Oryzias latipes: one gene and its partner. The protein of the gene in region 1 purifies or fractionates together with the protein of each later gene. This does not show direct contact. Links are inferred from orthologs where the notes say so. Each region holds a gene or a part of one and is shown in the gene's direction. Other genes may lie near its edges. The genes, in order: arfgef3 and phb2.

The links.
Region 2: the proteins of arfgef3 (region 1) and phb2 purify together in Homo sapiens (affinity purification with western blotting; 4 studies listed by BioGRID). This does not show direct contact. The link is inferred for Oryzias latipes from reciprocal best matches to the Homo sapiens genes ARFGEF3 and PHB2.

Annotation. Positions count from the first base shown.
Region 1 is NC_019873.2:14,396,399-14,408,176, reverse strand, and holds the end of arfgef3 (brefeldin A-inhibited guanine nucleotide-exchange protein 3), read left to right. Parts: intron 1-1,485; coding exon 1,486-1,704; intron 1,705-1,827; coding exon 1,828-1,999; intron 2,000-3,493; coding exon 3,494-3,595; intron 3,596-3,666; coding exon 3,667-4,055; intron 4,056-4,132; coding exon 4,133-4,634; intron 4,635-4,892; coding exon 4,893-5,084; 3' UTR 5,085-7,246; downstream 7,247-11,778. UniProt on the Homo sapiens protein: Participates in the regulation of systemic glucose homeostasis, where it negatively regulates insulin granule biogenesis in pancreatic islet beta cells. Also regulates glucagon granule production in pancreatic alpha cells.
Region 2 is NC_019862.2:5,429,093-5,442,041, forward strand, and holds phb2 (prohibitin-2), read left to right. Parts: upstream 1-5,905; 5' UTR 5,906-6,009; coding exon 6,010-6,030; intron 6,031-6,884; coding exon 6,885-7,014; intron 7,015-8,187; coding exon 8,188-8,272; intron 8,273-8,854; coding exon 8,855-8,934; intron 8,935-9,139; coding exon 9,140-9,324; intron 9,325-9,408; coding exon 9,409-9,538; intron 9,539-9,702; coding exon 9,703-9,806; intron 9,807-9,936; coding exon 9,937-10,014; intron 10,015-10,103; coding exon 10,104-10,183; intron 10,184-12,136; coding exon 12,137-12,161; 3' UTR 12,162-12,405; downstream 12,406-12,949. Other genes in the region: pde6d (retinal rod rhodopsin-sensitive cGMP 3',5'-cyclic phosphodiesterase subunit delta), read left to right, coding at 859-947, 1,127-1,252, 1,616-1,721, 3,449-3,530.

The DNA of each region.
Region 1 (11,778 bases):
ATGAAAGATGTTTTTTTAGAACAAGTTTGCAGGAGTTATATTAATTTTATTGCAGGAGCCCCTTATTAGCTAATATAAAATGGAGTCTTTGAGAATTCTCTGAATTTCCTCTGCACACACAGTTTTGATGGTATATGCTGGATGACAGACATTTTCAGGTCTCCTCAAATATTCTCAATTGGAATTAAGGCAGGACATTAACAGAATTGTTTTGTTGTTTTAGCTTTATACTCAAGGTACCCTTGGTCTTGTTGGAAGCTAAATTTCTATTTCCAACTACTGAGTTGTATAGTGTAGGTTACACCTTGTGAATAATTTATATATTTTTGCAAAAATACTCAATGTAGTTAAAGCTAAAAAAAATCCATACAAGGTCTCATTAGATCAAATGATTTTGTCTAACAACTCTACCATATAGCACACATTGGTGAGGGACTGAAGTGATGATTCAGTAACTTTCTCCCATGTTCAACATAAAGTTTAGCCATAGATTTGAATTTGAATTGAAATGAACTTTACTTATCTCAGTGATTAAAAGTGAAGAGCTTAAGTAAAAGAATGTCACAAAAAGGGTCTAAACACTAATTTCTTTTTCTATTAGATTTTGAACAATTTTTTTCAACTGAAACAGTTTCTTAATCTATAAAATACAATGACAATAAATAAATAAGCTCAGTAGTTTGAACAAAAAACCTGCTTTATGTTTAAAGGTCTTATATCATGCAAAATCCACTTTTATGAGCTATTAGGTATATTATAATGTTAATTCCTCACAAAAAATCAACCCCAATGCAGAGAATCAGTCCTTCCCAACACATGAAAACGAGTGGGTCTTCACCAGCTGACATAGAAAAGGGATGAATATCCCTTTCCAGGAAGAGTCTGTGCTGCCAGACTAACACATACACACACTTTCTCCGCGGAGCTAGCTGTGATCAGCAAAATGGGGTGAAAACATGGGTGAAACACAGACACGCTGCTGAGGCCGACTCTAGGTTGCCGTCATGAAATGGGCGCCACCCACAAGGAGTGAAAGTCTGTGCCTCAGAGAATGAGTTGTCTTACTTCCGGGTTGGAAAATGAGCTGCAAAAATAACTAATATTTCATTTTAATAAAATGTTCTTTAGTGTGTCCAAGGTAATATATTATCATAAATATGAATATAGTTTACTCTGAAAGGCCTTAAGAAAAGCATGACACAGGCCCGTTAAAATGGATCCAAATACTTCGCATTCATACTATCTTTGTTAAAACTTGATAAAATCTCGGGTATTAAGTGTGGTTTACCTGTGTTTCAAATGTGACATTGAGCTTAAAAATGATTTAGTTGAAATTATTGCTTTTATGTTTGAGATGGACTTTTTTCTAAAATATGTTATCATAAAGTTCATCTGGTGGGGCTCTTTTCCCAGATGCATTTATACACAGACGGGTAGGCAGACTGTAGTAATGTATTCTGACAGTGTTTTTTTAACAATGTGCAGGATCCCGTTCCGGACCATCGTGGTGAGCTTGCTCTCCCACCAGGTTCTTCTGCAGAACCTCTATGACATCCTGCTGGAGGAGTTTGTCAAACAGCCTGAAGGAAATGAAAGAGTCACTCCTGTGACCTCTGACCCCAGGAGACCCACAGCAGGCTTCCTGCGCTACATCTCTATGTCTAATTTAGCCATGATCCTGGATTTGCTGCTCGACTCTTACAGGTTATTGCAACACAAAAAAGTCAAATAAGACTCATCTATTTACCTTTTGAATCTCTGAAGGTAAATTGAAGGAATGCAGGATATTTTTACATGTAGCTCATGGGAGCTCTGATCTGTTTGCAGGACGGCTCGGGACTTTGACACTCGTCCTGGGCTGAAATATCTGTTGATGAAGGTCTCTGGAGTTTGTGGAGCTGCCAACCTTTATCGGCAATCTGCCATGAGCTTCAACCTGTACTTCCAGGCCTTGCTTTGTGCCACGCTGAGCCAGGCTGAAAGCATGACCGCACAGCAGGTGGGAAATAAGCTTTTTACACATTAAAACGATTACAGTTGTTTTATGAAAATCCTGCCATGAGTACATTTGGTTGTTTTGTTGGGACTTCTGCTCACTTTAGAGCACCCATGTTACTATCAACAGCAAATTTATTCATGACGCATTTAAACATTTTTTTATTTTATTTTTTTATTTTATAATTTGTGCAAAAAAATTATTTTTCATTTTAAAGATTTTCTAAGGTCATATTAAAATGTCACCTTTTGGTCAAAATGGAAATACCGTAGTTAAAAGCCCCACTTCAATCATCTTTTAATCTTTTACAAAAGTGTTCCATTGGTCTTTTAACAATCTTTAACCAAAACTAAAAAAACCTGTCATTTTCTAGGACATAGTTTCTGCAGAGTGGCAGTAGTTCATTAAAAAATTTGCCTCTTCATAATTAGCAATTTAAATGTTATTTGTGTGTAGTTCAGCATTTTATTTTTCTATCTGGTGTCTATTGACAGTAGTATGCTTTACTGCACCCACCTATTATGCATGGTTAGTGCAGTATGATGGGAAATTGAGTTTGTAAAAGTATAAGTCAATTTAACAAATAGTATATGGATGAACTTTTAGCAAGATCTATCAAACACTTCAAATTATAGTTATGATCTTTCAAGAGTCTGCTTGTTTTCACACACAGGTATGTCTTTCCCCTTTTCTTTCCAAAACTCTTAAACAAATAGTTTTCTCTGGTTTTTAGGGATAATCTTGGAGAAAAACGGATTTAAAAAATACTGATGTATGATGATTTAGTAGTAAATATAGAATATTTAGTACTGTCTATAAAGAGTTACTGATTGAAACGTATTTTTCTTCCTTTTTGGGATTGTTTTTTTTCCAAATGTGTATTTTTTTATGTTTTAAAAAAATGCTGAGAAAATTAGTTTAGGGATACATTTGCAAAAAAAGGAATGAAAAAAGGATATTGATCAAATGCCAATTTTAAAAGGAGGGGGTGGGCAGATTTAAGATTCTTCTCAACTAGAACTGTGATCGTTGAAATCCGCCATTGAGATTTAGTTTTTTATAGCTCAGTAAAAGAATGTGTTACAAGCGTGTCGTTTGTCTCAGAAAAATTAAGCGTCAGACTTTGTTCTAGAGATGAAGACTGGACCGTATCTTGGCTCTAAAACAAAACTGTGTCTGGAAAATTAAAAATGCAGCATTCTCTTGCTTAATACCTTTAGAAAAATGCCTCTATTTCAACATTTTTTATGTGTTCCTCGAATATTACATCTACGCTTTTATGTGTTTGGTAGGTGTAACCAAGACTTTCAGAGCAGGTATTCAGTGTGATAATTGTCTCTAAAATAACCCACTAACATTCCAGCTCACCTTTTATATAAACCATTTGGTGATCACATTTTAACCTCTAACTGAGGACCATGTAGCGACTGTAGCTACAGCTTCTTCCATGATTTCTGTTGTCTTTGCATTGCTTTTGAAGCCTTCTGTTGTTTTCAGGTGAAAAGGATCCTTTATGAAGATGAAGAGGGGAGCTCCGACTCATCTCATCCTGGTTCTGCCTCCTCGGAGGATGAAGACATTTTTGAAGAAACGGCACAGGTGACACACATTTTACAGACACAGGACCATTCTGTTTAAAATCAGTGTGTAAACCTTGTCTCCTCCTGCAGGTGAGTCCTCCTCGTGGCAGAGAGAAGCGCCATCAGTGGCGGCCTCCCGTCACGCCACTCGGTGTACAGCCACTTGGGAGTGCAGACTGGGCCTGGCTGGTCAAACGCCTCTACAAGGTGTGCATGGATCTGTGTAACAGCTACATCCAGATGCACCGGGACTTGGAGAGCACGCTGGAGCAGTCCCCTCTGCTCAGAGGAGGTGCCGGAGGGGGGACAGAGGCTGTGTTCTTCCTGCCTCTTTTCCAGTCTGAAACACCCACGCCAACATCCCCAGGCGGACTCTCGATGAGTGGAACGCCTTCAGAGGACGGGGGTTACAGATGTCAGTCAGCAGACCTGGGTGCAGTGTCGCCAGGAGACATGTCTACCCCCAGCCCAAGATTCAGGTTTGTAATATAAAATAATCTTAATCTGTCTAATAAAAGCTACTGGAAAAAAAAAACTGTCTCTTCTGTTTTCACAGCTTCACGGGTAGCCTGCCACACCACTTCCGGACAGGAGGAGAGAGGAGGGAATCCAACATCACAGGGAGCTCAGTGGGAGGGACTTCTAGTAGCTCTGGGCCAGGACGAAGAAAGGAATGGTGGGAGAGCGCCGGAAACAAACTGTATACCATCGCCACAGACAAAACCATCAGCAAGCTGATGATGGAGTACAAGCGGAGGAAACAACAGCAGCAGCAGCCGCAGCAGAGTCACCTCAACTTGTACATGAAGGAGCAAGGGCGAGGAGGAGTAGGGGCGGCAGGAGGAGGAGGGACTGTTGGTGCAGCAGAGAGGAGGGCCCCAGAGGAGCCACAGACGCCCCCACAAAGGCCACAGCAGCTGGTTGATCAGCAGGGTCCCCATCTGAGGCATTCAGTCAGTGCTGGCCCAGAGGTGCTGAGGCAGGAGAAGAGGCCACGGTCAGGATCCACCCTCAGCTCCCACAGCATCTCACTGAGGGATTCTGAAGCTCAGATACAGGTGTGTATCAGAAACAACACTTCCAAAAAAATTAAAAGCTGCACATTTTCTTTTCTATAAGGCAGGTACTGAAAAAGTACCAGCCTCTGCCTGTTTTTATTTTTTTATGGCTTAAAACGGCATAATTATAATCTAAAGACCACTGGGAACGTTTTTACAATAGATGAAAAGATAATTGTAGTGTGTCTTTAAGCTTTCTTTGTTTTTCTGAAACTGCATAACAAGTCGGTGTTTTGAAATTGTCTCCTTTTCTTACAGGCGTGGACCACTATGGTCCTAACACTTCTGAACCACGTTCTGGCTCTGTCAGATTCCTCCTTTCTGGCGCTGCAGCCAGTGCTGTACCCCTGCCTGAGCCAGCTGTCCTGTCATGTAACTGACCCTCGCGTCCGGCAGGCGCTCCGAGAGTGGCTGGGCCGGGTCGGCAGACTCTATGACATCGTTGTGTGACACCCCTGCGAGGACCTTGGAAAAAAACTTAAGGAGGCAGCATTCACTGAAGGATGTAAGCACACGAAGTGAGAATTAAGTTTGAAAATCCAAGCTGGAAGAATATGGGCTTACAGACAGCGATAGATTTCCAATGGTACGTTTTCTCACAGTTTCTGAAAACTGGGTGGCAAATTTGCTAATGCTTTAATCTTATTGTCCCAGTACAATCATGATGTGTGTTTTTTGGTATCCAGTTGCATTTCTCAGAGCTTCGTTGCATTTCTCGGATAGGCACAATCCACCCCTGTTTATAGAAAGCAACGACATTTCTCCTGCTGAACATCATTCATTCTCTTCTCGTCAGCGCTTCTGTATTCTGCAGGAAGGAGGTTATTTTTTTTACCAGCTTTTCCGTCAAAGTAAAGCAAGTGTCCTGGTTGTGAAAAATGGCAGTTAATTCCTTCATCAAAAGGAGGTCACAACATCTAAGTCCGAAGATGTGCTCATTTGATTTATTTGATTGACAGCATTTTCTTTCTCTGTCCAAGTGAAGCTTTAGGCCTGATTCATAATCTGATTGTTTGCATTTCTCTCTCAGTGAAAGATTATTTTCCAGATGCAGTTTTAAATCTCCTGCAAAGTCAGCATTTCTCCTTCTGAATGTCTTTATCAATAAATCTTCTACTATTGGGTATTTATTCAAACTTATGTGTGTTTTGATGATCTGTTCCAGCTGTTGATTCATGTATGATTATGTGTGTCAGTGGACACTTTGTTTAAATGATTCTTTTTTCCTATTGGAGACATCTTGTCTTTTATGATTTCTTCTGCTGTAATTGGCAAACAAACATAAGATTACTGCTAGTTTTGCTGCTTTGAAGCAGCACCTTTTAGAATTGTATTACTGGAGTTGTATTTTGAAATTCAGAATATTTAAAAAAGGCATAGATTCTTCTAATAACTCTGGGATAATGAAGTGTCTTCTTTTTATAATCTTAAATTTGCACCTTAGCCAATTAAGCCACAAGGTTTGAACTAAGCCTTTGAATTTTCTACCCAAATTTGAAGTCGTCCAAAAGTAACAAATGTTGAAGTTCCTCAAATGACCATTAGAGGCTGGTTTCATATGTCGCCACTTACCCTAACAGCTTCATCATGAAGCCATTTGGATAAGAAGACAATAAGTCCAGATGTCATGACCCAACTTCAGGACATGGAAGAATAAGAATCTTTGACATATCTCAGTTTATGGTTTTTTCCCTTTATTTTAAATGAATGACAACAGAAATGACTGGATTTTTGTAAATAAATCAGCTGTTTTAGCTTTATGGAAGAAGGTCTAGTTTGTCCATAATTATGGGTGAGCTTTTGCTACTAAAAGATGGGTGGGCATAAAAACGTGAAACGTATATTCCTGCTTGAGTTAAGATGGCCTTTTTACCTTTTAGACTACAAACGTCAGAAATTAGTAATCCAGTTATTGTTTATGCTTGAGGCGAATGTATTTATTTATATTTCAAAGTAAATGATGAATCCATAATTAATTTCCAATCCCCGCACTTTGGAAGGACCAAAATGAAGAAAGAAAAAATCACAAAACATAAGAATCTAGAAATACAAACTCCTGCACAGAGTCCTGTTAATTTTCTAACAGAACTGTTTTTTTTTAATGAAAACTCTAGAGAATACATTATAAAATCCTATTCCTCCTATAACCATTAAGAACATTTTAATTTATTAGTATTTTAAACAATATGGCTGCAGTAAAAAATAAATTTCAGGCTGCTCTGACCATCTTTTTTATGTTCACTTTAGCACAAGTTGTGAATGATAAGAGTATCAAACTGATGCTGAACTCATCATATTGAGGGCAGGGAGGATGGGGCTTGTGATGCTTTTAAGAAGATTTACTTTTTTTTTTTTTTTTTTAACCTACATTGACCACCCGTGTTCTGTTTCCTTCATTTTCCTTCTGGCTTTGCCGCTGTCCTCTCATTGAAAGTTTTCTGCTTTTCTCACACCAACACTGCAGTGAACCACATATTCATGTTGAGAAGATGGTTATGGATTCACCATTTAAAATCTACATTGATATTTTGACTGTCAGTTGTACACAGCTCTGGTGGCTTGTGACCAAAATGAATAAAAACCAAAGTGATCCCAGGAAGATGCACTAAAAAGCCTTTATCTTTTTCTTAATACTCAACTTTTGTCTTTGAAGTAAGATCTTTTAGAAAAACATTTGTAGTGTTCTATATTTTCTATTTTTTTTGTGAAAAAAAGAATCCTGTGTCATGTAGTTACAGGTTAATCCATCAGGAAGCAGATACATCTTAACAAAACTTTCTACATGCAAGTGTTTTGTCTTTCTTTTATATGTCTGACAAAAAAAACGATATTAAACCGTTGAGCTCCTGGAGTTAAAAGAAATATTTGAATTTAGTTTCATATTACAATTTTTGTTATTATGAAATTATGAGGGATTTTTAATTTTAAAAAAACAGCCTTAAAGAGACTAAATTTGAACTAAGAAATGCATCAATTTCAAAAAAGCTGTTTCAAAAATTATTTGCTTTAACAAAAAACATTTTTATATTATGCTGCTGTATTAAATAAAAGAATAGCTAAAGTATCTCAAAAACTTTGCCCTCTTTTGGTTTGCCCTCCTCCCCAATCCTTCATTAGTATCCCTATCAAATACCAAACAGATTTGCAGAAAGGGGTTAAGCACTGAAATTGTTCTTCCTACGTTTTCCCAATGTCCCCAGGCCTTCTTTTGCAATTTACCACAATATACACTGAGTCAGATAAATCTGAAATCCCAAATCTTGATTTTTTTGTTCATGTAATTATAAACAACTAATTCTGTACTAACTACCCGAGTCAGATAACTTGCTAACCTCTGGAGTGAGTTCTGCGTTATGCAGCTACATGGTCATTTTATTCTATCCTCTTTATTTGGAGGAGAGCCAGTTTGGCTTAAAGGAATCCTGCTCATCCATGATCTCTGGCTTAAGTGCAAATGGCGATAAGGCTGATGCTCTGCTGGCCCGAATCACATCGTCTGATTCTGTATGACAGCCTGGAGGCTACTTGGTTCTCATGTTCAGCCATGACGATCTTTAAATCTTGCTTTCACCAAGAAAAGTCACTCTGTTGTCTCAATTTCTTTTCCCCCCTCAATTTCACATAATGTTACTGCATATCCAAAAAAAAAACATCCATTATTTTTTCGGGAAAGAAACTTAACAAATCCAATCAACTAAAAAAAAAATGTTTGTATATTTTGAGTCTCTGATAATATTTGTCTTCAATAATGAAATAACCATGTTTAGAAGCAAAAGGAAGGAAGACTTAAAGAAATATGAGAAAGTCTTTCTTCCAATTCTTTTCTGATTAGGAGGCCAAACAGAGTTGGCATCACCTGCTGGCTTTTCATTTCAGAGAAGTACAGACTCAAGTCTACATGTTTCTCCTAAAAAAAAAAAAAAAAGGCTTTGAACTCTGTAAGCTGCTATTTTACAGCCATCTGAATCCATACTCTGAATATGGGTTCCGGGGAGCCTTACCGATAGCTGTCCTGTCTCTGTATGACCGGAGCAGGAGCATCTGGTCCAGATGCCTCCTGGACGCCTCCCTGGGAAGGTGTTCAGGACATGTCCCACCGTGGAAGACAGAGTACACACTGCAGAAACTGTGTCTTGGCTGGCCTGGAAGCCTCGGGGGTCCCCCCAGTGGAGCTGGAGGACGTGGCTTGGGAGTCTGGGAATCTTTGTTTAGACTGGTTCCTCCACAACCTGGTCCTGGATGAGCAGAACAAAATGAATGGATGGAGAATCATGTGATAAATGTAAACTCAATGTAAAAACAAAACAAAGTTTACCATTTGCAGTGTTCTTGACAACTTATCAGTGATGTTTTTAGGATAAGAAGATAAGTCTTTATTCGTCCTGCAATGGGTTAATTTCAATTTCAAAGGCATTTTTTCCCAAAATCTCTTGTTAACATGGCGTCTAATTTTCATTCCAGTTGCATTTTGTGAGCCTGCAATCATTTAACAATGCAACTTGTTGCAGTGGAAATGTTCAAAAGGAAAAAAAAACTAGAATTTCCTATTTTTGTAAGCATTAACCCACTTCTCATTTCTTTAGAGCAGAAACTTGCACCTTGATTTCAGCGTAGCAATCATTGTTATAAACTTGCGTCTTTATTTCTTTAAAGAAGTCATTTTAGACGGCCTCATTACTGTGAATGAGCATTAGCATGTCTCGCTGCTCGTTCGTTCCTCGCAGTTTTACTTCAGTTGGCTAAATCCCTCCCTCTGTCCCTGACCTGCTCTCATTTAAACGCGAGCAGTGGGAGGACAGATGTTGTCAGCCATCAGTGTGATCAACAACACGGAGAAAGGATTTAGTTGCTGTTAGGTCCTAGGGCTGCATCTGTCAGCTAATGTGTCTGTGAATGTCAGGTTTCTTCACCAGCACTTTCACCATATGTCCTCTTTTGCCCCTCCTCTCAACTTTCCTTCTGGGGCTTTACCTGCTTCACTTTCAGGTTGATTCTTAACTCCAATGTTTAGTGATTTTGCTTCACTTCTTTTTAAACAGATTTGAGCGAGTGCCTGCTAACAACAAGGTCAGAATCGATGCATTGTCATATGTTTCATCACGTCTTTGTGGGATGTGAAGCCCTCTCCTCTTAACCACCCATCTATCAGATTCTTGCACTGTCCTTTTCCTGGAAAGGTTTAATCTCACGCTTACTCATAATAATCAGTACAGTCAAGTGTAGTTTGAGGACTTTAGTGATGGATTACTGAGAAAGAAAGGGCCTTTGACCCACTTTGCTCTGAGATCAGACAAATTGATCCGGGACAGAACATGGACCTGCACAGACATCCTGCGTAGACTGTGCTATAGATGAGTGTGAGACTTCTGATTATTTATTTGAGCCTGTTTGTCTGAGAGCGGACAAAGTTCCTGCAAAGCTGCTTTTTTGATTGCACTATCCTTACTCCATCTGTGTCTGACATAGACGGATCAAAAAGTGCGAACATGACCCAGACATGTGACACAGTTTCAGAGGAGAAAGGTTGCTTTGCTTGACAAAAAACGGTTGAGGAAATCTAAAATCTGGTCAGTGGAAGCCTGCACTAACAATAATCACTATCTTTTTTTTAGTAGTTAACAAATGAACTTAATTTGGAAAGAACATGTAATGGGATTCATTGGTGTCTATACAATTTTTGATAACTGATCCAGATTTGAAGGGTCTGCTAGGTGGAAAGTAATATAAAACCTGGTCTTTCTAAGATGTCAAGTTCAGTTCGGGAGTGTCTTTTTAAGTTCTTCACAAATAAACACTAAAAAATACAAAACCTTTGCCAATAAGGCCCTGTTTAGGCCAAAACAAGATGTCCACAAATGGCAGCAATGCATCTGAAAGCATTTGGGATAGTGATTTTTTTTTTTTTTTTTTTTTTTTTTTTTTTTTTTAAAACACTTGTCCTGTCCAACAGCTGAGCACACAGATCGGAGCTGATTGCCTCTTGCGTTGGATATATTTTGCTTTTACAACAGAAGGTTCTGGATCTTCTGACACACAAGATGTGTAGTTGTATGAACGTCTTTTGTAATTTAGGCTAAACTTTATTTATATTAATTACATTTGTATCTTTTTTTTGGGGGGGGGATACATTGGTTTTGACTTGGTTCGTTTTTTTTTTTTTTTTTTTTTTTTTTTTTAAGAACTTCAGAGAAGAAAATTGATAATACATTGTTAGGAATAATTAGAAATAGAATAGTTAGAAACCCCCTTTTTACTATTATTACATTTACCTATACCTTTTATTACACTAATGGTTTAAACTTAATTCACTGAGCATGTATTATCATCTCAAAATTATATTACAGCCTAAGACAGCACAAACAAGCTATTGTCCTCACAGTTTCTCCTCATCCTCCCTTTTTACTTTTTGTGTGTTCTGGTGTTTGTGCTCTGGCAAATGTCTGTGGGAACATCAGAGAGATCTGACACTTGAAGCTTTATGACCTTCAAGTATCCAGCCTGCAACAGCATGTGGGTGGGTTTTTCACACCATAGATCCCCAGACCATCTTTTGAATATGTAAATGTCAGGTATATATACCAAGCCCTGTTCTGAGTGTCTTTGTTCAGACCTGGTTCAGACCTTGTGATCCTGTTCCTCTGTCTGTAACCCTGTGCTGTTTTGTGCGGAGTAAATCTTCACTGAAGTTAAGTAACTGTCTCTGAGTCTCATTTATGCATTTCTGTGTGCTGGAAACTGAAAGGGGAAACGAACCAACCTAACTATTCTTATTATTACAGTCCTTTCTAGAAAATCCAGTTTCTTCACATACATTTACATACATTTAATGTTCGGTTATTATCATACATTTTTTCCAGTTCTATTGCAATCCATGGAGTATGGAAGTTATCCTTCTATATGAGGTCTTGTTGACATGAAAAAATAAATACACAACAAAAGGTAAATATTCTTTACAACTTAAATTTACAAAAGCCTTATTACTTAGTTAACCAAAAAAAAGTAATCTTATCAACTGCTGCACAAACTTAATATATTCAGCTTTAACAACATAGTAACGTTCATATACTGTACAGGACGATAAAGAGTAAATTAAATTCCTGTGGAACAAAGTCCTGTTTAATCCTGTCTGAGAGTGTGTATTAAG
Region 2 (12,949 bases), on another chromosome or scaffold:
TTTGTCGTTGAGGGGGACCGAAACCGACCACCGATATGCTGTTAGCATCTGTGATATTCGACTGAGTTTACGAAACCAGGGTCTGCGCGCGGCGCGGAACCCGTCTGGCTAGCTAGAACCAGCCGCGGCTCTGCCGTGTTTACCAAGATGCTGAAGAGTCCGAGTGGTACACGAATGCACCACGGATTCGGCACTGAAGGAAACGAGCAACTTAGTATCCAACTGACTCGGAGCCGGGTCAGACCACAGAATCAAAGCTGAAATTAAATGGAGAGTCAGATCAAAGCCAGTACCGGGTCAGAGTGAGGTCTACCGGTACCGGTTGGAAGGGGGGGGTTCATCTGAATACCCAGAGGTCTTTGCAGGCACACGATGGTGATCCAGAATCTGAAACTAGCTTGACCTGAAGGTCCAAGGACATAAATGAATCTGCAGGCGGTGAAGAGGAGGAGAGCCGTCTTGAACTGAAGATGAAGATCTTTATGGTTGAAAACTGATCTTCATCACAACGGTTACTGGTCTGGGACTCTTCTCCATCCCAGTTTGTGTTCTGACAGCTGTGCCAAAGCTCTGCTTCATAGTAGGCGGCTGGTTTCTCCGCTCCAAAGTAAATGCAGATCCTGCAGATTAGACTGAGTTACACTTGAGGGGATTAGAGGAACCTTTGAACTCAGCACACTTTTCCAGGGGGTGGGGGGGGGGGGGTGTCAGGTGCTGATCACCAGTCCTGCCTGCTCACCTCAAGGCACGGGCCACCACAGTGGCACTTTGGTACAAAAAAATGTTGGTTCTGAGCAGCGTGGCGGTTCACAGCAGCTCCTGGCTTGAGCTCTTGACTTCACTTAACTCCTTTGGCAGAAACTGGATGAACCTCCGCGATGCGGAGACGGGAAAGATTTTGTGGCAGGGGACTGAGGACCTGTCGGTACCGGGGGTGGAGCATGAAGGTAGGTCGCCACTCGGAACTGGACTCAGGACAAGCTACTAAAGACAGCAGAGGGGTTAGCCTCTCACACAGCCAGGAGGGACTCTAAAGAACTGATGATCCAGGAGGATCTGCTTCTCTGAAGATGAGCAACCGGCTGAGCAGTTGCTCTTCTGAAGCTCATATCCTCTGTTTTCTCAGCTCGCGTACCAAAGAAGATCCTAAAGTGCAAAGCGGTGTCCAGAGAACTGAACTTCTCTTCCACGGAGAAGCTGGAGAAGTTCAGGCTGGAGCAGAAAGTTCTCTTCAAAGGACAGTGTCTAGAAGGTGAGATGCCAGACGTCTTTCCATAGAGCTAGAGTGTGTCTGCTTGAACCCCAGAGAATTCACACCGACAAATGTTTCTCCTTCATCCATCACTGCAAGATTGTTCATATTCGCCTACCCGTTGTCATAGTAACCAGCATTGGTCTTTAACAAACAAGTCTAGTTTCCCTCAAGCTGCTACACCAGTGGATTTTTTTTCCCAAATCAATTCTGTGTTCGTGTTCCTGCCAGGGCGTCCCAAAGGGGCAGCTGTTTCTCAGCTCTACCCACGGGACGCCCCACCCTCCTCATCCCAACATGTTTTTCTGGAGTTTCCAGAGCAACAAGCAGCACTGTGATAGTGTGTCTTTTGTGCATTTGCAGAGTGGTTCTTTGAGTTTGGCTTTGTCATCCCAAACTCCACCAACACGTGGCAGTCACTAATCGAAGCTGCTCCAGAATCACAGATGATGCCTGCCAGTGTTCTGACGTGAGTCTACGTCTCCTGTCTGCTGGTGATGTCCTTGCTGCCTGGCCCATTTCATGAAGCAACCGCACTAATCGGACTTCTACGTCCTCGAGTTTAGATCTGCACACTCTCACAACTAACTGTGCATGACTGGCATGTGCAAAACTGCACAGGCTTTAAAGTGCACACACTCACAATTGTGCACTCTTACAACTGTGTTCTCTCGAAGCTGTACATGCTAACATCTGCACACTCTCACAGCTGGAGATGCTCACAACTGTTAACAATAACAAAAATACACTCACAACTGCACAGTTACAACTGCACATGCTCACAATTGGGCATATTTACAAATGCAGTAGTTCTAGTTGCACAATCTGACAACTGCACATGCTCACAATTGGGCATATTTACAAATGCAGTAGTTCTAGTTGCACAATCTGGCAACTGCACATGCTCACAGCTTCACACACTCATATGCCCACATTCAAAACTGCACACACTGCAACTAAAACACTTAAAGGTGTACTTGCATAAGTGGAATGCTCACAATTTACATTTGAAACGCTACTCCCAGCTACCCATGCTTTTAACTGTGTGTGACTAGGGGTGTTAGAAAAAATCGTTTCGGCAATATATCGCGATAGGTCATTTGGCGATACTTGTATCGATTCAAAATGCTATCAGGACGATATTTATTTAATTATTTATGAGCCCTCCGACCGCTAGTTGGCAGCAGAGCACACGGAGCCTCTTTGAGCAGCTCTACACCACACAAAACAACAGGAAGATCTGAGCTAGAGGCAGCTTTATTCATTGTTATGAGACATGATATACTTAATTTTTACTTGGGATGGGAACCGAACCCAAACTCTGAGCCATGTTGCTGCCAGTATCATACAAAAACGCGAATGGCAGTGCTTTTTAGCGGACTCAGAGACTGCAGCTGCACCGCGGCTATTGTGAGAAAGCGTGGCTGCAGCAGCGGTTCAGACTGAAATTTACACAAGCATCTTTGCCACATAAAGCGTCTCCTTCATCCTATCATGCTGCTTCATCATCACACTTTATTGTTTCTTCAAAGAATTTGTGTTTTTGAAGTACCAATATTGAAAATAAACAGCGCTTTATTTCCTCAATCATATTTTTAGAACCTTATTGGTTAAGGTACATTCACTCCTTTTTTTTTTCTTATTGTGGAAATCAGACAATGTTGACTCTTACCTTTCTATAGTTTAAGTTACCAGAATAAAAGAATTATAAATTTGCCTGGCTAAAAGCAACTTCTATATGAGATACAGTTGCAGTGCTTAAAATTGTGATCATTAAATAAACATAATTTGACCATTTTATTACAATGGAAGACATACAATTCCGCGGAAAAGAAAGAAAATGTGTTCCGGTACAACATGGGATACGTAACGTATCGTCAGACTCTTGTCTGTGACCACAGCTGTGCATCCCATTACCTGTGAGCTCACAGCTGCACATGCTTACAGCTTTTCAAGCTCACAACTATGCACACGTACAACCTACGCTTTGACAGTTGTGATGCTCAAACTCCATGCACTCATATTAGTTTAAAGTGTGCAGCCCAATGGAGGACTAGCTTCTACTTGTGTTTCTTACAACCAACATGGTTGTGTTTGCATGCATTCACTTGTGTTTTTCATTTTGCTGCTTGTTGTGTGTTAGGATGTTAAATATTACAGAACGTGGTGTAACTGCAGCCCTTCTTTGTCTTCTAGTGGGAACGTGATCATAGAGACCAAGTTTTTTGATGACGATCTCCACGTTAGCACATCCCGGGTCCGGCTTTTCTATGTCTGAGCCCGAACTAGACCTCTGACTGTGCCCTCTAAGTGCTGACGTCCTCCACCGTCACAAACCACCACGGTTAGGTCCAGTTGGCAGCAGTGGTGCTGATGTGGAGTTGGCACGCTCAGGTCCTCAGTCAACAAAGCGAGCTTCGTGTTTTGGTTGCCCCCCTGTTTTGAGGGCAATGAGGAGCCGCACTGTTTCCAGCTCCAGGAACCTATCCCCACATTTCTCTTCCACCTGATGGACCAAAAGCCTCCCCTTCACTCCTCTTTTTGCTCCCTGTTGAACCCGTTTGGAGGCTCGGTTGTTCGGGAACATGACCTCATGTCAGACCAATAAATCTGTGTGTGAACTGCTCCAGATGTTCATGGAAAGCTTTCTCTGGACAGCACTGCTCACGGATTTGGCCACATCTGACCGAGGAGTAAAATTTCAGGTGTGTTCAGATCCTGATGGTGCTGCAGGTCCGTTTCAAATCAAACTTCCTCTTGGCTGTGTCCCATTTCAGAGGTCACCCTCTTTGTTCAGGACCATCAAGCATCAGGTGAGGGCAGGTACTCACCTGTGTGCTGATGGACAGTTTGAAAAGGGCTTTCGTTGGTTTAGTACAGAACCTTTCTTAGCTCAGAGACACAATGACTGGATTCGGCGAGCGGCCCCTGAGGTGGGACACAGCAGCTCCGGTCAGTCCAGGTTCAGCTGACAGACTCTCCTAACTGCTGTCCTCCAGAGGAGTCACCAGATGTTCACCAGCAACCTCAGAGAGCTTTATGAGTGTCAACTGTGGAGCCTTTCCAAGCTCTGTTCCACTGCAGCACTGAGGCTTGGCTCCATTTTTCCTGTACAGCGTGAACCCCTGCAGCTTTTTCCTGAACATCCTCATAGATTTTGGAAATTTCTCACTTTGTTTTTTTTGTTTTTTTTAGCTGCTCTCTGAACCTGTGTGGAATAGATTTGTGTTTTACTATGACAAGAGTTGTGAATTAAAGTTTAACAATGTTGTAATAACACAGTGTCCTCTTTTTAATAAACATACAAACGCAGCACATCTGAACATCACAGTTGAAACTGAATAAAACCGACCTGATGTGACAGTTGATGGACTGTGACTGCAGCTCGTTACAGATGCAGGAGCTGAAATGAGTTTCGTCATCATTGACTGTATAACAGAACTGGACTGACCCCCCCCCCCCCCCCCCGTTCCAACTAGGAGGTGCCGGCTGGATCCAAGAACTCAAAGTCTCAAACTTCAATGTCACAATAACCATTCTTGCGCTGTTCCCTTTTTCTTGACATGTTCTTGCTAATCCTAATTTTGTTTTCATATTTTGTCTGTAGTTCATATTATTCCAGTTATAAACTAGCCAATCAGATGCCTCAATGAAAGCAGGTGGCCTTGCGTTGAACATGTCACATTTTTTTTTTTAATTTTCCTGAGCCTGTGCTCAATGAAAGGAGGTGTGTCCTTCGAACATGCTCACTCCTCATTGGAGAGACAGGTTGCCATGAAAATGTTGACTTAGTCGGACTCAGACTTATCACGGTTTACTGAGGACGTCTGGCGATGGCTATTCTGTTGAAAAATGGCGACTAAATTGATTTGCAGATCATTTTCTATGGGTGACATCACGCATGCTTGGTCCAGTTCTCTTGCAGTCAGTGGTCCAAGCTGTCTGTCTCTCATAGTGAAACAGCCGCACAGACAAACAAAAACTTGCAGGTTTCGAAGTGATTTAGAAATGTGAAGTCTGTATAGAATGGAAGTTCATAACAGATTTTTTGGAACTGAACCCAAGACTTCACTCCGACCATCTTTTGGTCCATTTTCAAAGCGTTCCCATTGGTCTTTGAATTATTATTATGCCATTTATCCAAAACAAAAAACCTGTTTCATTTTTTAGGACATAGTTTCTGCAGAGCGCCAGGAGTTCATTAGAAATTCACCTCTGATATGTGGGCAGCACAGTTGGTGCAGAGTAAGTCTGCCCACACTTCCCAACATCCCTCTGTTTACACTCTCTCCCACTAGCTAACAGTCTCCCAATGACCCCAACCTTCTTTATACGAGGATGGTTCTCTGAATGCATCAGAATGAACCAGAGCAGAGAGCTTGTGGCTTGCCTTAGGAACACGAACATCACACAAGCTTTTTCAAACAGCATTTTTCCGTCTGCTCCTGATTCACAAAGATTTAATTAGAAATACTCAGAAATGCAATTATTAGCTTACATTTCTTTATATCCTGAGAAAAACGCAACAAAAACACGTCAAAAACATAAAAAAAACCCCACAATTTTCATTGGAGTTGGTCTTCAGAAGAAAACACAGTTGGACCAGCTGCAGTACCGTTTCTTACTCACAGGAGGCAGCAACACCGGATCCCATATAACTCATTGGGATCCACCTACTTCACTGCAACGTCATGTCCCAGCATGCCTTGCGCTAAACTGCGTGCGCAGCGAGCTGACCTTGGGTACCGTTGAACAACATGTCGAGCAGGGAGCCGAACGTAAGTGTTCTGGACCGTAAAAGAAAGAAGGTTCCGGTCAGATAGCGCTGTGTATCCGCTTAGGTCAAAGCAACTGACAGGGTAGTTGCTAACTGCGCAAGAACCTCGCGCCGGTGTTTTGCAGCCCACGTGACTACTTTACCTTTGCGGAGGCACGGGTTATGGTAATGTGTGCCGTTCATGTAAAGAAGTGTAGTTTAGTCTAGTTGGAATCTACAGTCTTAGTTCAGACTGATAGTTTATTTAGCTGTAGTCAAATGTATAAGTTGCAGTTCCGTCAGTGAGTTCGGGAAGCGCGTTCTACGGTTCTGACCCATCTTCTCACGAGGGAGAGATGGGAGCTGCAGTCAGTCAGGCAGGCACAGCTCACTACAGCTCCTGCTCTCCATTGTTAGTCCGGAAGGCATCTTACTGTGACCCGGCTAGGGATTAGAACCCGCAACCTCCTAGCTAGTACAGAGTGGTCACTCATCCACTGTAGTTCACAGAGCTGGTTAGTTTGGATTGGTTAAGGAATTTGTAGTTTTTGTCCCAATTTTATTCAGATGAGTTTAGTTATGACAGGTTTAGCTCAAACTGGTTAAGGTTAGTCTGGTTTCTTCCAGACAGGTTAGTTTACATAGACTGGTTTAGTTCAGACTAGTTTATTTTACACTGGTATACTTTAAAATAAACCTATTTAGTTTAGAATAAACCAGACTTGACCCTAAAGCAGTTCATATGGCCTTTTTTATAGTTTGACCAATCCGTGGTTTGCATTAGACTGGTTTTGTTACTAGTTTAGACTAGTTGAGTTCATTCTAATCATGTCTTTTTTCCCATCCATCCCTGCTGTTCTTTGGATCCGACCACAGCGCTTCTTCCAGCACCTGAGAGATCTGTCAGGCCGGATGTCGTCTGGCGGTCGGGGGGCGGGGCTTGGACTTAAGCTGCTGCTGGGAGCCGGCGCTTTGGCGTATGGCGTCTATGAAGCTACATACACAGGTGAGGCCAGGAATCTGGTTTCTGCTGTAGCAACTGTGATCATGTGTATCAGGGGGTAAAGTGTAAGAGGATAAACAAAAACAATTAAAAGTGGACAAAGCAGGACCAGATCAGGAAGATCTACAAATAAAGGTAGTTTGTGAATTTGTGCATCTGCAAGATTTAACGCTGTGATGACCTTAGACAAGGAGGAACTTATTCAAAAGTGTCTTTGGGTAAACACCTGTTTGGACTACTGAAGGTCTTAGAATGAGCAGCGTCTCACCTTTTTGTCCATGTCCTTCACAAACAACCAGTGCAAGCAATTTCAAGCTGTGCAACATCCATATCACAAAGGTCTGCGAAAATCGCAATAAATTGTAAGCCTTAAATGTGCTACAACAATCTTATGGCAGCTTGAAGTATTTTACAAATTGAAAAAATCCCTTTATTCATTTGACCAATCAGATACAACCCTTCACGTTGTTGACAATCGGATGGTGCTTTTATGTTAGATGTTTGCCTCCTTTTTAGACGAGGGTCATTTGAAATATAATTTAAATCTTTCCCGCTATTACTTTTTTTCCTTTCCGACCGTGGTCAGAAGCGCGGGGGACTGAAGGCGGATCCTCCTTCGGGGTTCACTACCCCGTTCAGACCCTCAGATTCTCCAGAGTCACAGAAATTCACATTTAATTGGAAATGTGAACGGCCTTGCAAAAAAATCAAACTTTTTCAAAAAATCGTAATTGAGCATTAAGCCTTGCAGTGTAAACGTAGCCTTAGTAAAGGTGATGTAAAGCAGCTGCTGTTCATCCAGAACGCTGCTGCTCAAGTCCTGACCAAAACCAGGAAGGACGACCACTTCACTTGGTCTTAGGCATCTACTTCCTGTTGCTCAGAGAACAAACATTAGAACAGATCTGATTGTGTTAAATTCTCTCCATGGCTGAGCACCAAAGTACATCTCTGACCTGTTCAAGTTTAGATAAAAAGAAACTTGTTTTTAGATCAGTGTATGACTACTGAATGTCTTTGATCAGCCTTCGTCTTTTTATCTGGTTTTCAAGTGATAAATTGTAATTCATCATTTTGCTGTTTAAGTTTACTGTTGTTGTTTTGTATTATATGCTTCGAATTTGCCCATTTTTTTGTTCCAGTCACATTGAATAACCTTGTTTTGTGTGTGTGCAGTTGAAGGCGGTCACAGAGCCATCGTTTTCAACAGGATTGGAGGGATGCAGATGGACACAATCCTGTCAGAGGGGCTTCATTTCAGGTAAGTTTCACTGAGTCGGTTGTGACAGAAAGGGGTGTGGTCTGTGGTCTCTAGTTCACTGTGGGGACTTTAAGAAGTAAATTATAGCATGTAATCATGCCCAGCTATTCCCTCGGGTCTGACTGGCAGGCAGACTTGCTTCCATGTGGACTGACTTCTGTTTTAAATCGGTTCTCTGAAGTTGGTTGACTTCTTCTGCGTTTGTGTCAGTATGTCAGAAAGCACCAGTTCATAACTTGGAATGTCTCAAAACACTGCTCAAAAACATCAGACAGAGCTTTATAAATTATAATTGTTTAATCTAATTTAGTCCAGATTATTTTACCTGTATTTCAATGAAAGCTGCTGAAATGACCAACAGATTGCATTGAGTTTTGGTGCCTGAACCGAGCGAGCAAACGGTAACAGTGGAAAGGAACATTTTCTAAATAGAAAATTAGGAAAGAAAAAAAGCAGAAACAGACTGTGTAAGGATGACCGTGTGCCTCGGGCAGATGTAGTTTGAGAGGACAGGAAAGAGACGGACACAGACGAACTGGAACATCTGCTACAAGGCAACGTCTGGTTTGTGTGTCTGTGCAGGATTCCATGGATCCAGTACCCCATCATCTATGACATCAGAGCCAAACCCAGAAAGATCTCCTCTTTGACAGGCAGCAAAGGTAAAACTCTCACTGTCTTTGCTTGGGGGTTGGATGTAGAGCTGGCCATGGTTTCTTTTAACTACCTGGGCCAGGTGTGTATAATCCATGACTGGTGATACCGGACTTCCTGTTATTCGGGGCACCTGTGTAAGGTTCTTGTGTCATTGTGGTCCCTCTACATTTGGGTGAAATAAAATTGAACCTTCTTGTGTTGTGTGTGTAGACCTGCAGATGGTGAACATCGCCGTACGCGTCCTGTCCAGACCTCTAGCCTCCAATCTGCCCATCATGTACCAGCAGCTGGGTAAGGACTACGATGAGAGGGTTCTGCCGTCCATTGTAAACGAGGTTCTGAAGTCTGTGGTGGCCAAATTTAACGCATCGCAGCTGATCACACAGAGAGCTCAGGTGAGTTGGAGCTCTCCTCTGTAACAGGCGACATCCCATAGTGAGGTCTTGAGCTCTGCTAACGCTGTGCTCTGATTGGAGCAGGTGTCCTTGCTGGTACGCAGGGAGCTGTATGACAGGGCCAAAGACTTTAACATCATCCTGGATGACGTGTCCATCACCGAGTTGAGTTTCAGCAGCCAGTATACTGCTGCTGTGGAGGCCAAGCAAGTTGGTAAGTGGGCACACACCTGCGCCAGGTAGAACCAAGCCTGCAGTCACGTGATGGCAAATAACAAGCCGGAGTGAGAAAATAAGCCGTTGAGACACAGTGAATGGGACTTAAGCCCTCATTAAGAGCCAACCTTTGTGTCTGTGTGTGTTTGTGCGTGCCTATAGCTCAGCAAGAGGCCCAGAGAGCCCAGTTCTACGTAGAGAAAGCCAAACAGGACCAAAGACAGAAGATCATTCAGGCAGAAGGAGAAGCTGAAGCTGCCAAGATGGTAAGCGACAGGGTGACCCGTCAAGGTCTACGTGTTTCTTCCAGTCAGGCTCAGACAAAACCAGGTTCTGACTGAAAGAAAAGTTGTTGAGTTGGTTTCAGCCACACTGATCGATCTGTCTGCATCTCAGCTTGGCCAAGCAGTGACAAAGAACCCAGGTTACCTGAAGCTGAGGAGAATTAGAGCGGCGCAGAACATTGCCAAGACGGTCAGAGACGTTTTTTCCTCTGCAGCACAAGAGTTGTTTCTGTCTGTGAGGATGATGATGATGATGACGGAAGATGTTGTTTCCTCCAGGTGGCGGCGTCCCAAAACAGAATTTACTTGAATGCGGACGGTTTGGTCCTGAACCTGCAGGATCAGTCGTTCTTCAACACGTAGGTTCACACACAAAGGTCGCACTGACCTCCCAACATCTTAGGCTTAACAAGCCTAAAACCTGCTTGTACTAATGCTAACAGTGATCTTCCAACATGCTAACCCTGACCTGTAAAGCCATTGTGGTCTATGCCGATCTAGTGAGCACTGATGGATACTTGTTTTTGCAGTGACATCTTGAAAATGGCGATCATCCTCTGAAGTGCACTAAGTAGTGAGGGAATTTGGACACAACCAATGTGTTAATGCTAACAAGCTAGCTCTGACCTACTCACATGGTAATGCTAGCAAGCAGTGTTGCCAGATAGTCATGGTTTTCCAGCCCAAAAGTCATCTAAAAAGCGCCGGGTTTCACAAGAAAACGATTATTTAGCAGTAATTACTCATCCTTTAATTAATACTTCTCATTTTGATTGAAAGACCAACTTTGAGACATTTTTAATGATATTACATCCACAATTCAATATCTGTAGAATTAAGAAAAGTGCCATCACTGTCCATTAGGTGGACAATGTCCATCTAACTTTTGTAAAACATGAATTTTTGTTTGTATAGAACAGATCGATTATTCCAAATCAAATCAAACTGTGTTTGTATAGCACTTTTTCAACTTGTGCTACTCAAAGTGCTTTACATAAAAACACAATTAAATCCTAAAAACAAAAGACAAGACATTACACAAATATTTTGTCTAAAACCCCTCAAATAGTTGGTGTTTGGACCGAAGTTGTGGATGTAGATTACCGTATTTTCCGGACTATAAGTCGCCCTTTTTTTCATAGTTTGGCAAGGGGTGCGACTTATACACCGCAGCGACTTATATTAGAAATAAATTCAAATAAATACATTGTTAACCCTCCTGTTATGTTCATTTGTGAGGAACAGAGATGATGTTCCTGGGTCAATTTGATGTTTGAGGGATGTTAAGTGTTAAGAGTATGTTAAGTGACTCAGAGAATCAGCAAACTTTTTTTTACAGTAAGATCTTGAAGGCTAACAACATAATATTCTATTTTCCAATGATTTCATAGATTCAGAAATGCAATAAAAATGAAAACTGTTTCTACAAATACAGGCTGAAAACAGATTATTAGTTGGCCAATTATGCTTCATGAAAGGAATAAATAAATAAGTTTGAGAAAGAATTACTGTGAAATTATGAGATAAACAGTCTGATATGATTGTGTCATATAAGGTTGTGCAAATTATTAGTTCTTGGTCTCAGATTTTGTCAAATAAATTTCCCGTCAAAATGCGACTTATAGTCCAGTGCGACTTATCTGTGTTTTTTCTACTTTATAATGCATTTTTGGTCTGGTGCATGCGACTTATAGTCCGGAGCGACTTACAGTCCGGAAAATACGGTAATTTCCAATAGACCAAGACTTGTTTGTGGTATTTAGAAAAATTTGATTGGTAATTTAAAAGGATCAGAATCACATTTAAAACAAATCCGTCCCACCCACCATCTAAAGCAGATGTGAAGGAATGGTAAACCAGATTGAATGTTTTAGCTCCTGTATTTTCAAAGTCAGTGGCCTTCATCTCGCCTTCCTCCCCTTTTATTGGTCAATTCCATTCCGACAGGACAAATCAATCTGGTTTCATCCCAGGAATAGAAATTGATTTATCAACTAATCGATTAATTGCTACGCCCCTACAAGAAAGGGTCTTGAAAACCCTAAGCGGGAAACTCTTCGATACATAAGATCGCAAAAATGGAGTCAAGTGACCTCTAACTTTAGCCTAAACAATAAATGAATGTTTTTCTCTTAATCGCCAAGATGATGAACTGCTGTTGTGCGTGTGGACTGTCGTTTGTCCACATGCACAGTCTAATAGCTTCATCTTAATCCACAATGTTTTGGTGATTGTCCATCTGGATGGAGCCACACAGCGACCTTAACGTTGGCTGACCTTCATGCTGCTGAACCAGGTTCTTGTGTTTTCAGTCTGTCCTTGATGCAGAAGAAGTGATGGAGAGAAAGAGGATGGCGGCTCAGCTGGGACCTCCCCCTGACTGATAGACAGCTGCTTTGGTGGGGGGGTAGAAAGGGAGTAGAGATACCAGTACCACATTTACCCCCCGTCTACCTGACTGGATGAGAAGATCGTCATCCTTTGTTGAGGATTGGTTGTTGCCGTGTCCCAGTTGGAGCAAAAGATCCCGGTGACATTTGTTGTTTTTGTGAATTTATGAAATAAACTTAAATCCAACTGAGTTAAAGGGTCTGGTTTCTTTTTGCATCACCTGGGGAGGGGGGGTTGAGCCAGAGCTGATGAGATGACCTTCAGTTCTGCAGTGTCCAGGTGTTAGACACAAACTGACATCAGAGAAGAAACATGAGTCTGAGAAGAGTATAAAACGATAGAAGACAACAAATCCATTATTCCACAAAGGAGAATCATTGTTTCATCTAATTTCTGACCTTCAGAAGATCATTCAGGCAGATCATCTGGTAGTTGGAACCTCCATATATCTGCAGACCTTTGTCTAGGATTGCTCAGATCCTTTCAGCAAAAACATCCTCACACTCACCAGCTGTGAGGTTCTTAACCATTTTGCTGTAATAGAACTCAGACATGTAATCCAAAACAATGATGGAGAGGAGAACCAACATCCTGGATCGAATAACTCAAAAGTTAAATCCTCAAAATTTCTCTCCATAATCCTCAGACTCATGTTGAGGTCGACTTTTTGGGGATCTACAGGTTTGTGGGCCAGACCTGCAGACAGTTCCGGGTGTGTCCACCAGAGGGCGGTG